3 linked regions of the Xenopus tropicalis genome follow. The protein of the gene in region 1 binds, or shares a complex with, the protein of each later gene. Links are inferred from orthologs where the notes say so. Each region holds a gene or a part of one and is shown in the gene's direction. Other genes may lie near its edges. The genes, in order: vegfc, flt4 and kdr.

Region 1 (3,656 bases):
TTATACACAGGGCTTTAAATAGCCTTAATGCAGACACATTAAACACATTTAATAGGGAAGCCTGCGCTGTGATCTTTCGTTGAAATCTGGAACATTGTGCAGGGAAATACATGACTTGACAAGGATCTCCAAAAGGCAATGTCATTCTCATAATCATTTCTGTAAATTACTTTAACATGGGAGTGCTGCATAAAAAGGCATGCCAGAAACCAACTACATGCTGAATGCAACAAATGACTGAGAATTTTACAAGTTCACAAGTTGATATGCAAACTCTTTTAATAACTAAGTGGGCAACACTGCCTGCTTAAGGGGGAACTATACCTTATTTGTAAAAATGCATTTATTCTTTGATATATTCTCTTTTATAAACTAATTCAATGGAGGAAACCAGTAAAGTGAGATCTTGTTATAACATATTTTGTTTACATTCACCTCTGTGGGGAATGGCAAAGCTTTGTTTCAGAGCATTTGGGTTAATAAATTCCATATGATAGATCAAATACCTGTAGAATAAATCGGTAGCCATTCAGTAGGGGCCACAGTGTCCAACCATTTTTTATTTATAGTAGTTAAATTCCAGAACACATGCTCTCCCCTTCCCCTCACTGCCAGCTCAGAGCTTTTTATTTTCATCAAAACATTGGTGGTAAAGTGTTCAGAGGTCACACTCCTTTCACTGCCTGATGCCCACACCATACATTTTTCTTCTGGCACATATGGTAAGGGAAGCTTGAAGTTGCCCACTGGGATATAATTAATAGCTTGTGAATAGCTTTTAAATATGCATGCAGTTTTGTGCTAGGTGTTAAGCTTTGCACTTACATTACTAAAATGAGTCCTGTCATTATTGTTTTAGACCAGTGCTGTCCAACTAATTACATGTAGTGGGCCAGTTATATCTTGTACAGCATGTTGGAGAGTCGAATTCAATGAAAATGACCATGTCACATAATATAGTCTGTGGATCACCTGAGCAGGCTGGGGGCCATAAAAATCCTTTGAAGGGCCACATCGGCCCGCTGGCCTCCAGTTGGACAGCCCTGTTTTAGAGCATTATTTATTTTTAGAGCTTTCATCTTGCCTCAGTCACTCCAACCAGTGGACTAGAACAAACAAATTACATTGTAAATTGTCATGAAATGTACCCAGTGTAGGGTTGCATATATTTCATAATTTCAGTATATAATGCAACCTCAGAAACAAGTCTATTCCTACGTGGAATTTTTTTCCTATTCAGAGAGGACTGTTGTGGGTGCTATAAAATACATTTATACAAATGTATTTTATACATTTTATACTGGCTGCTGCCTTTTATGAAATCTACATACTGTAAGAAAGTTGTGACTGTAATGTGTAATAGTGTTGCCTGCAGAGGTCAGGTACCTACAGGTGTGGATAGGAGATCTGCTCTGCGGGTTGGATTGCGGGTATTACATATAGCAAGTTGTACACCTTTACACCTTTTTTGTCCCCTGTTTTTATGCCCCAGTCCACTTCCAGCTCAATGGTTTTCTGCGGGTAGCGGGTTAAAATGCAGGTTGTGGGTCTTGATCACAGTTTTAAAAAATTTGACCCATGCAGGACTCTAGCCTGTTTTTTAGGGATGCACCAAATCAAGGGTTCGGTTCGAGATTCACCCGAGATTTGGCCTTTTTCAGCAGGATTCAGATTTGGGCGAATCCACGCTCCTGGCCAAACCGAATTCTTAAAATCATGTGACTTTTTGTCACATAAACGCAGAAGTTGAAAATTTTCCGCTGCACGCACTCTTCTCTACATATGTAAATTCAGATTCGGAATTCTTTATGAAGGTTTTGAACGAAAACGAAAATAGTGGATTCAGTGCATCCCTAATCCCTTTAATGTATTTTTTTCAATATATGTGTTTCATATCTGCAAAATAATAACGGAATGAGATAGCAACCATATACGTTTATTTTATACTAACCCCCTCAAACCACTAATAATAATAAGTGTTTCCATTTGTTGGGTTGTTTTCAGGGGAGACTAAATTTTGTGGAGTTCTCTTTCCTAAAGCACACACTTTCTCTGGCAGCAACCAGAATGAAGTGCCTGTAATTGAGATTTACTCCCCACATAAACGTAAAATGTATTTGCCATTAACAATGTCATCTTTATTGGTATCGTTATTAAGTAGAGAAGGGGTTGTGAAGGTAAATTGTCTTTATTTTTTGTTTGAAAGGATCAGCCAGGAAGAGAACTGGAAGAGCAGCTGAGGTCAGTGTCCAGTGTGGATGAACTAATGACTCTCCTCTACCCCGAATCCTGGAAAATGTTTAAGTGCCAGCTACGACAAGGAGGCAGCACAGGATATGACACTAGGAGAGAAGACAGTTTTACATTTGCGGCTGCTCATTATAATTACAATGCTGAAATCTGGAAAAGTAAGTTAATGAGAAGTGTGAAAGTGGCACATCCACTCATCATACAGATCAAATTCTATTTAATTAGAAGAAAAAACTCTACCGTCATCAACGGTACATCAGTCTTTTTCAGAAGTGAAGCTCTAGGTGTCGGAAGGCAATGGAAGGCAAAAAGTTCCATTCTACACTGGTCTCTCAGTGTTCTAAGAATTAATTTTTTTTTTTAAATTGAATTTCTTGACAAAAGTTTCTTTTTGTAGACAATATTTTTGAAAGTGTAATTGATTATAAAATACTCTTTTCAATTGGGATTTTGAATATCCAACTTACTACAGTATTTATATTTGGTTTGATATCTGTTTAGGTCATTCTTGCCGTATTCAGGCAAATTAAAAAACTCCTTCTTGCTGTTATCATCGTTATTGTCATCATGCTAATAACAATTTATCCCTCTTTATCCCTATACCTTGGCAGGTATTGAAAATGAGTGGAGAAAAACTCAGTGCATTCCCCGGGAAGTATGTGTGGATGTAGGGAAAGAATTTGGAGCACCAACAAACACCTTCTTTAAACCCCCGTGTGTATCCGTCTACAGATGTGGGGGTTGCTGTAACAGTGAAGGGTTGCACTGTATGAACACCAGCTCAACTTTTGTCAGCAAAACTGTAAGTTTTATAGATATGCATATCTTCTTTATAGGGCATACAACACATTGCAGAATTCATTCTCAATTATTCAGAATTCTTTTTTTTTTTTTTTACAAGGATATGCTTCATTTGGCAGGGATTTGCACCCTACTGAAGATCAAAGAAAAATGAAATGGTCTTTGTAAAATTTTCATCTCCCTTCTCTCTGCTAAATGTCAGGCTATGCTAAGGTCAACTTACCCACTGCAAAGAAATATGTTCTGAATCTTGTTAGGTATATTGAAGTTGGATATTTAATTAACTATTGTATTGGAGTTAGTATTGCCCTAAAATGTATTTGTCAAGTGGTAACAGTAATCAAATATATTAATAAACAAGGCTTAACAATTCTGAAGGGTGTTAGAGCTCAGCACTAAGAAGAATAGCAAAATAGCTTAACATTTTTGCTGTTCCTTTACCTTTAAAATAAAAACAGTCTTCATCTGTTAACTATATTTTAGAACATTCATTAATCCTATATTTTTTGATTCTTAATCAAAGCAATATCTATTTTGACATTTTAGAGTTCAGAGTCATTCTCTGAGCCTTAAACTTACTATACATGGTCTGATTCCCAAGATTT
Region 2 (3,656 bases), on another chromosome or scaffold:
TACATAAAATATGAAATTATTTTATACTTTCTTCTATTTCACTCTTAGTGTGGGTGGGGAAAGTCAAGAATGGATACCTTAACATTAAAAGTATGTGTAGTCAAGTTCTTCATGTTTATGTTACATTTTAACAAATACAATTGTCTGCTTATTGATTTCTAGGGGACAAAGGCCCCTGCAGTGGTCTTGGCCAGGGGGTTTTACAGACACAGATACAAAGGACAAAGACTCCAAAGTGACTATAAATTTCAGTGATACACGCAGTGTGGCTGAGGAAGACTGTGAGGGGATTCCTAGCAAACCTTACTGCAAGGTGTTCAGGCTGACAGGAGCTAGGGCTAACGACACAGGCTCTTACTGGTGCCACTACAAATTTATCAACGTCAGGATCAAAGGGACCACAGCTGCCAGCGTCCATGTCTTTGTAAGAGGTAGGTGGACAAAAACAGTATATTTCAATAAAGTTCTGTTATGTGGAAGAGAAAGAAATGTGCCAGAGAAAAGATCTGATATTTTAATGTATGAAGACCCCCACTACTGTGAACTACAGCTATATTTTCTACTAGCTACTAAGAAGATGTGTTCTAGAATCTTTATTCTCATGAAAATAATTATTAAAATCCTTTTTTGAAAGATAACATTTATGGCTGGAAAAATATCAAAAGATGGGGGAAGTGGTTAATTTATGAACCAAGTTCTAAGTACTTTAAAATATAATTCAGTTTTATTACTCTGCTTGTTACACTGCTTATTCATCCATCACCCACTACTGTGTTGCACTCAGGTTCTATGGCTGAATGCCTTGCCTCAATAGTAAGGATCCTATTTTAAGATGCAAGATATCTATGCTGTAATCAGGGCCGCAGAAACTCTGGGGTTACAAACCACTATAGGATACTTACATGGCCTTTTAGGAGTCCCAAGCACAGGTCTGCACTTAAATGGATGTTTATCTTCAGGCAATAGTGCCCCTGTCAGATCACTGCTGCTAAAACACTCTCTGTTTTGCTCTCTCTGTAAGGGATTTCTTAGACTAAGACTAATAAATAATAAAGATGATTTATCATAATCAGTTTTTTCTGATGGGGCTGTTCAAATTCAGACTGTTGTTGTAAGGTGAACATCCCCTTTATAAGTAAAGTTTTAGCTTCATATAAGCTACCACTGTTGGGAAGGATAACTATGACCTTCCCTTTGCCCTACCCCAGCCTTCCTGCATTCAAAACAGTAGAGAGGACATGATCTGCTGAAATTGTGCTGTGGTCAGTTATAAAATGACCATTGATGGATCTCTATATAATGCTGCAGTAGTATTCCTTTAACTGTGCTCATATCCTATAATAAAAATATCATTAAACTATGTCAGCATTTCCCCATGATGAGCAAAGTTCTGCATGTGTAGCATATAGTATCTCTTTAAGAGGATTAAATGTTTGTTACAGATTTCAGTACGTTTTTAGTTGATCTTCATGTATGTTTTTGAACTTTCTGCATTCCTGTCTTGCTTGCAACTGGAAACACAAGTGGAGCTCATTTATAAACAATGGGCAAATTTACACCTAAGCAGTAACACATAGCAACCAATCGGTGATTGGATTTTTCATTCAGCTGCAGGTTAAACGCTGAAAGAAATCGCCTGATTGATTGTCGTGAGTTACAACCCAGGTGCAATTTAGCCCAGTCTAATCTATTGTGAAGCTACAATGTTATTGCTATTTTGATTGATTTTTACTAATGCTCCCCTCTTCTATTGATCTTTCATTTTGACAGCCAGGGCCAGAACCAGTGTCGGACTGAGATGGCAGGGGCCCAATAGAAAACCCTGGGCAAAGGGCCCACTCTCAAAACTTTAATTGCTCCTCTACTCCTTCAAACTCTTTATTCTCCGAGTCTCTTTTCTCTACATACTATCCTCTCTTCTTCCATCTATCAAGCTTCCTTGTTCGCATACAGAAATAGGGCTAAATAGATAGAAGCAAGAGGGCCCACTGACACTTGGGCCCACCGGGAGTTTTCCTGGTATCCTGGTAGGCCAGTCCAACACTGGCCAGAACTAGGGGTAGACAGAAGAGGAATGTACCTAGTGTGCAACTGTTGGTGGCGCTAGGCATGTACCGCTTTAACATACCCCTAGTTCAGACCCTTGTCCCTCCACACCCGCAGGTCCCCCTCATCTTACTGTATATGTGGATATAGTTTTTCATGTACTGCAGAAGAAGGACAACCAGAATTTTCTTAACTTTTAGGGAAAACCCAGCAAAAAGACAGAACAGTTTTGTTTATTAGCTAAGCCCATTTCTTTTATTAATACTATATAATTCTCTTGAGAATTTATTACATACTGTATTTTTCTAAAATGTCTGGAATTTTTTCTTGGTGGATAAGGAGGTCACGTAGAAAATGAGAAACTAGAGAGGTTCATGTGCGCTCAGTGCATCCAGTGGTTTCGTGTTCATGTGCTTTACATTATAAGAAATCCTTGGGCCACTGGTGTGCACATTAAAATAAACAATATCTGTACCGGTCGTTCAGGACATAATGTTAACTGAAACATAAACAATTTAAGATTGAAATTCTTCAAACTAGATTTAAATGGATTTTGCATCATTCAGGCCAAGAGTCCAGGCTCTTTTCATTATTATTATTACTACAGTTTGTATTGCTTAGATCAAGTTTTTCCAAATCGGCCCACAAGAACAATTTACCTGCCAGAGATTTGAGGGGTCATTTACAATTTGCTTTTTGCGATCAACATCACATGCTTTTTGCAGAGTCACCCTGCCCTGCACCTTTCCCATGAATACATTGTTACCTGCATTCTTCAGTGCTCTATTCATAAGGAGCAGGTGGGGGGAGGCCCCTGTCTGCTCCTTAACTTGCATTCAGATGCACAAGTTATGGACTATTTTTCTACCTACCTTCCCATGGCAGTGGAAGAATAGAGCTGTGTTTCATCTGCCTTCAGTGCTGATATGCCCCTTTTATGTGTGCTTTAAGAATGAGCACTAAGGGGCTTGTTTTTGTGCCCCTCAGTGCTCCTTCACCCACGGCAAGGGGAATATTTATCTAGGTTTTATCTAGTTTGATTTTTTTTTTTGACGATTTTGCACTTAAAAAACACGAATTCGAATTATGTTTCAAAAACTTGTCTGGTTTTTATTAAGTGCAAAAAACTCAAAAACTCAAATGTAAAAATTCTAAAAGCTTCAAAGTTTCTATTGACGTCAATGATATTCGGGTTTTTTTTACTGGAACAAGTTTTCCTCATTAATAAATGAGCGAGAATTTGATATGTGAGTTTATTTGATTTAAAAAAAAACAAACAAATTCAAATTCACAAATTCAACAAACTGATAAATAAGCCCTCTAGTATTGCAATTTTCCAAACCCACGCTGACTTCTTGCCCTGCTGTCTCTGATCTATTTAACCCTCCATGTGCAGTTAGTTGTCTGTTTTCACATCTGCCAGCAACAACTCTCTAAAACTGGAATGCTTTTTTGTGGGGATAGAAATAACTTTCTAAATTTTGGGGGGATAGTATAAACTTTCTAGCTTTTCCGACCTACATATTTTCATTGTGTCTTTAGACTGGGAGCAGCCATTTATAAACACTCTTGGGGCATTGCTGGTATATAAGGAGAAAACTAGAGTGCCA
Region 3 (3,656 bases), about 7.3 Mb from region 1:
GCCCCTTAGTGTTTGTGAATCATGCGTTAGTGTTATTTCGGCGCGCAAATTAACGCATGCGGTAGCGCGAAATTGACCACATGCGATGTGCGACTTAACACACGTGGTAATACTATAGTGAATCACGCGTTAATTTTCGCGTCTATTTTAACGCAAAAAAGCGTGCGATAAAAATTAACACACTTTAGTGAATCAGCCCTAATGAATGCTGTGTTCACACAATCAAGTACTGTTTGAAGTAGATTTTATATATATATATATATATATATATATATATATATATATATATATATATATAGTGGGACTATAATATTCCTTGTATGAGCTTGGTCACTCACCACAGACATCAGTAGCATCTACTTATGGCAACTTGGAGTGCTATGTTAGCGGCCTGTTTAGAGGATTGCCTAGCTAACCTCTAGTGACTTGATAGGTAGGTTGAACCTGTTTGTATGTCTTTTAAGAGGTTTGAATAATAATAGTGGATGCTTTATGGGATGATTCTTTTGTTTTATCAGACTGTGAGTAAACTGGTCATTCACTCAGCCAGAGTATCTTCTCTGTACCGATGCTCAGCCACAAACCAAGCAGGAGAGGATGAGCATGTGATCTCTTTCCATGTTACCAGTAAGTTTGGGTATAATGGGCAGAGTAAATCTTGCAGTGGATAAAGATAGCATGTGACTTTCATTGTAGATAAACTACATCATCTTTGACTTTTGTTGCATAAATGTTCCGTGGTGGCCTACAAAGATCTTTAATAGAAATGTAGCAAACCCTTCTAAAATCTCAGCATCCTAAGCCAACCACAAGGTACCTGCATGTGCTAAGGTTGTCTATTACAAAGACTTGCAGCTTTGACACTACTGCTTTCTATATCTAGGCTTACCTGATATTTGTTCTTAGGTTTTAAACTGCAGTATAAGTAAGCAAATCTATATAACAAAAAATAATTGACTTATTTTTTTAGGAGGCCTAGAAATTGACATGCAGCCGAACAGCAAGCTCACTGAGCGGGACAACATAACATTAATATGCACAGCTGACAAGTTTACTTATGGGAATGTCATGTGGTTCAAGCTTAGTCCCAGCACAGTGGAAAAGCATCATATGGGATGGCCAATACCAGTGTGCAAAAACCTTGTTGGCCTGGTTAGAATGCATGCCACAACTACAAATACCAATGGAGACAACGTGACCTCGGCCCTGGTCCTGCATAACATATCAATGCGTGAACAAGGAAACTATGTTTGTGTTGCACAAGACAAAAAGACCCAGAAAAAATATTGTTTGATCAGACACATAAGAATACAAGGTATGGGACATTAAAAAAGAGCCTGTCATAAAAACTGAACAATGAATAAACATTTCTACTGTTTCGTTAATGAAACAACAACTAATATGTTTCTCCTGTATTATCTATACACAGCACAAAAAGTTCCCTTTATCTACCAGGACCTGAAAAACCAAACTAGAAATGTCAGTGAAACGGTGGTAGTGAAATGTCAGGCCTCTGGAACGCCTGATCCGCAAATCATTTGGTTTAAGGATGATGACAGCCTTGTAGAAGACTCAGGTGATAGTCTAATAATAAATACAATGTGTTAAAATGTATAATTTGGACTTGAACTGACTGCATAACTATACTGAGTTTCTCCTGGTCATAGATTTTATATACTCTGCCATAAAGTTGATTAGAAATCCTTAGTTTTGATGTATTATCTTTGTAAATGACCAGCTTTCTTGTGCAAAGTGAGGTTGTGCCATACAGTTAATCACATTTTTATTAATTTTAGGCATTATTTTAAAAGACCATAATAGGACTTTGACTATCCAGAGAGTTCGGAAGGAAGACGAAGGAATCTATTCTTGCAGGGCTTGTAATGACTTGGGATGTACAAAGTCAGAAATGTACTTCACAGTAAATGGTAAGTGTAGATTGCCACATATCCCCATTGTCTATTTATGATTTTTTGGAGATTTTAAACTAATTCAGGTTTACAGTTATTTGCAGCTGCACTCTAAATGAGTTTGTAAAAGTTTAAGGACTTGTAAACATTTGTATGGGACCTCACTATAGTGGTTCAAACCCCCTCTCCATCATGCTGTTCTACACTTGTGGGCAAAAATCCCTTAGTGCCGTCGACCTAAGTTGCTCAGTAGTACATCCATTAGAACCTGTTTAGCAGGGTGTAGTGCAAATACCGCCTGATACCTGTTGTATGAGTATACCTGCCATAAGTTAAGAATAACTATCACAGTCCATTTACAGAAGTCATTCTAGAATGATTTAATATTATTTCTACGCTCATGAAAACATGTAAAATATACCTGTGTCATTTATAGAAGTATAAATACCAAAACCTTATCATTCATTTTCCTATGCTTTCATAAAGGGAAAGTAAAGGCTTTCCACAAAGTTTAGGGATGGTGTAATAATGCTTTAGAGAGAATCTCTGCTAGGCATCATGTGTACGATGGTTCTTGCTGCTGAGAGGACAGAAACTGGCCAGCAGCTGGGTTGATTTTAACATTAATTCAGATACTGCTGTCAGATGTGGCAGGAGCTCCTACACAGTACAGAAAAATATTAGCTACTACAGTGTCTAAATGTCTTATTCTTAAGGATTCTTACAGAACATCTAAACGTTGTGGGAAGCCTTTATCTTCCCTTTAAGGGCTTCGGTAATTAAACATGTTTGGAGAAAGTACAGTTCCCATAACACAGTGAGCTGTGACACGAGCAGTCAAACGTTCAATTGTCTCTCCATAGGCACAGACGAGAAAACAAATCTGGAGCTCATTATTCTGGTTGGCACCGGAATCATTGCCATGTTTTTTTGGGTGCTTCTCGTAATCATCCTCCGGACCGTAAAGAGGGTAATGAAACTGTTTTCCTACTGTGCCATTTGTATTTGCCCGGCATGACAAATGAAATCTGACTGAGGGGCTATTGTGTTTCTCATTCTCATTGTCCTCAAATCAACAGACACTTTTTTTCCTTTGCATAGCAGAAAACCTCTGCATGGTTTGCTAAGTATGAAGTCATTTCAGTTTAATTGTGATTGCCCTTGGAGAGATTCTTGAGGATTCTTTGCATGAATTAGTCAAATACATTAATTATGAACCACTGGGCATTGCTTTAGATGCATGGGTGACTGTATGTTTAAGTGATAACAGTTCCGAAGGTCTCCAGTTAGTCACTCTGTCCTGTTGTACAATGTTATGTCCAACTCATGTGTCCGAAATTACTCTTTTTCAGCCCAATGGAGGGGAGCTTAAGGCTGGCTATTTGTCAATCATTATGGACCCTGGTGAAGTTCCTATAGAGGAACAGTGTGAGCGGCTTTCTTATGATGCCAGCAAGTGGGAGTTCCCGAGAGATCGTCTCAAATTAGGTGCATTTTTGAGTTGCATTAATATTTATGTCAATTATGCAATTTTGTGTTGAAATGATGTAAAGTAAATGTTATGTTAAATAGTTTTTTATTATTTATAATATTCTTCACAGATACATCTTACTGAATCATGTTCTGTTTGTATACACACACTCTTTACATACAGTTTTTTGGCTTATTTCAGAATAGAATTGTATTTTTTAAACTCTGTTTCTGTTTTAAATCTCCAAAAAAATAAAATTGTGTTAAATGTGATAT

The links.
Region 2: the proteins of vegfc (region 1) and flt4 are in contact, whole or in part, in a crystal structure (PDB 4BSK), measured with the Homo sapiens proteins. The link is inferred for Xenopus tropicalis from reciprocal best matches to the Homo sapiens genes VEGFC and FLT4. Residues at the interface, in NP_005420.1 of Homo sapiens: Leu119, Asp123, Trp126, Gln130, Asn167, Arg210; in NP_891555.2 of Homo sapiens: Gln172, His199, Asp200, Ala201, Leu202, Tyr203.
Region 3: the proteins of vegfc (region 1) and kdr are in contact, whole or in part, in a crystal structure (PDB 2X1W), measured with the Homo sapiens proteins. The link is inferred for Xenopus tropicalis from reciprocal best matches to the Homo sapiens genes VEGFC and KDR. Residues at the interface, in NP_005420.1 of Homo sapiens: Thr148, Asn149, Phe151, Lys153, Phe186, Ile188, Val190, Pro191, Leu192, Gln194, Pro196; in NP_002244.1 of Homo sapiens: Val135, Tyr137, Ile215, Val216, Val217, Val218, Asn253, Val254, Gly255, Ile256, Asp257, Phe258, Asn274, Arg275, Asp276, Phe288, Leu289, Ser310, Ser311, Gly312.

The regions. Positions count from the first base shown.
Region 1 is NC_030677.2:47,628,583-47,632,238, forward strand, and holds part of vegfc (vascular endothelial growth factor C), read left to right. Parts: intron 1-2,206; coding exon 2,207-2,408; intron 2,409-2,861; coding exon 2,862-3,052; intron 3,053-3,656. UniProt on the Homo sapiens protein: Growth factor active in angiogenesis, and endothelial cell growth, stimulating their proliferation and migration and also has effects on the permeability of blood vessels.
Region 2 is NC_030679.2:20,222,830-20,226,485, forward strand, and holds part of flt4 (vascular endothelial growth factor receptor 3), read left to right. Parts: intron 1-162; coding exon 163-431; intron 432-3,588; coding exon 3,589-3,656. UniProt on the Homo sapiens protein: Tyrosine-protein kinase that acts as a cell-surface receptor for VEGFC and VEGFD, and plays an essential role in adult lymphangiogenesis and in the development of the vascular network and the cardiovascular system during embryonic development.
Region 3 is NC_030677.2:40,288,318-40,291,973, reverse strand, and holds part of kdr (vascular endothelial growth factor receptor 2), read left to right. Parts: intron 1-518; coding exon 519-627; intron 628-970; coding exon 971-1,315; intron 1,316-1,429; coding exon 1,430-1,576; intron 1,577-1,796; coding exon 1,797-1,928; intron 1,929-2,773; coding exon 2,774-2,880; intron 2,881-3,262; coding exon 3,263-3,398; intron 3,399-3,656. UniProt on the Homo sapiens protein: Tyrosine-protein kinase that acts as a cell-surface receptor for VEGFA, VEGFC and VEGFD. Plays an essential role in the regulation of angiogenesis, vascular development, vascular permeability, and embryonic hematopoiesis.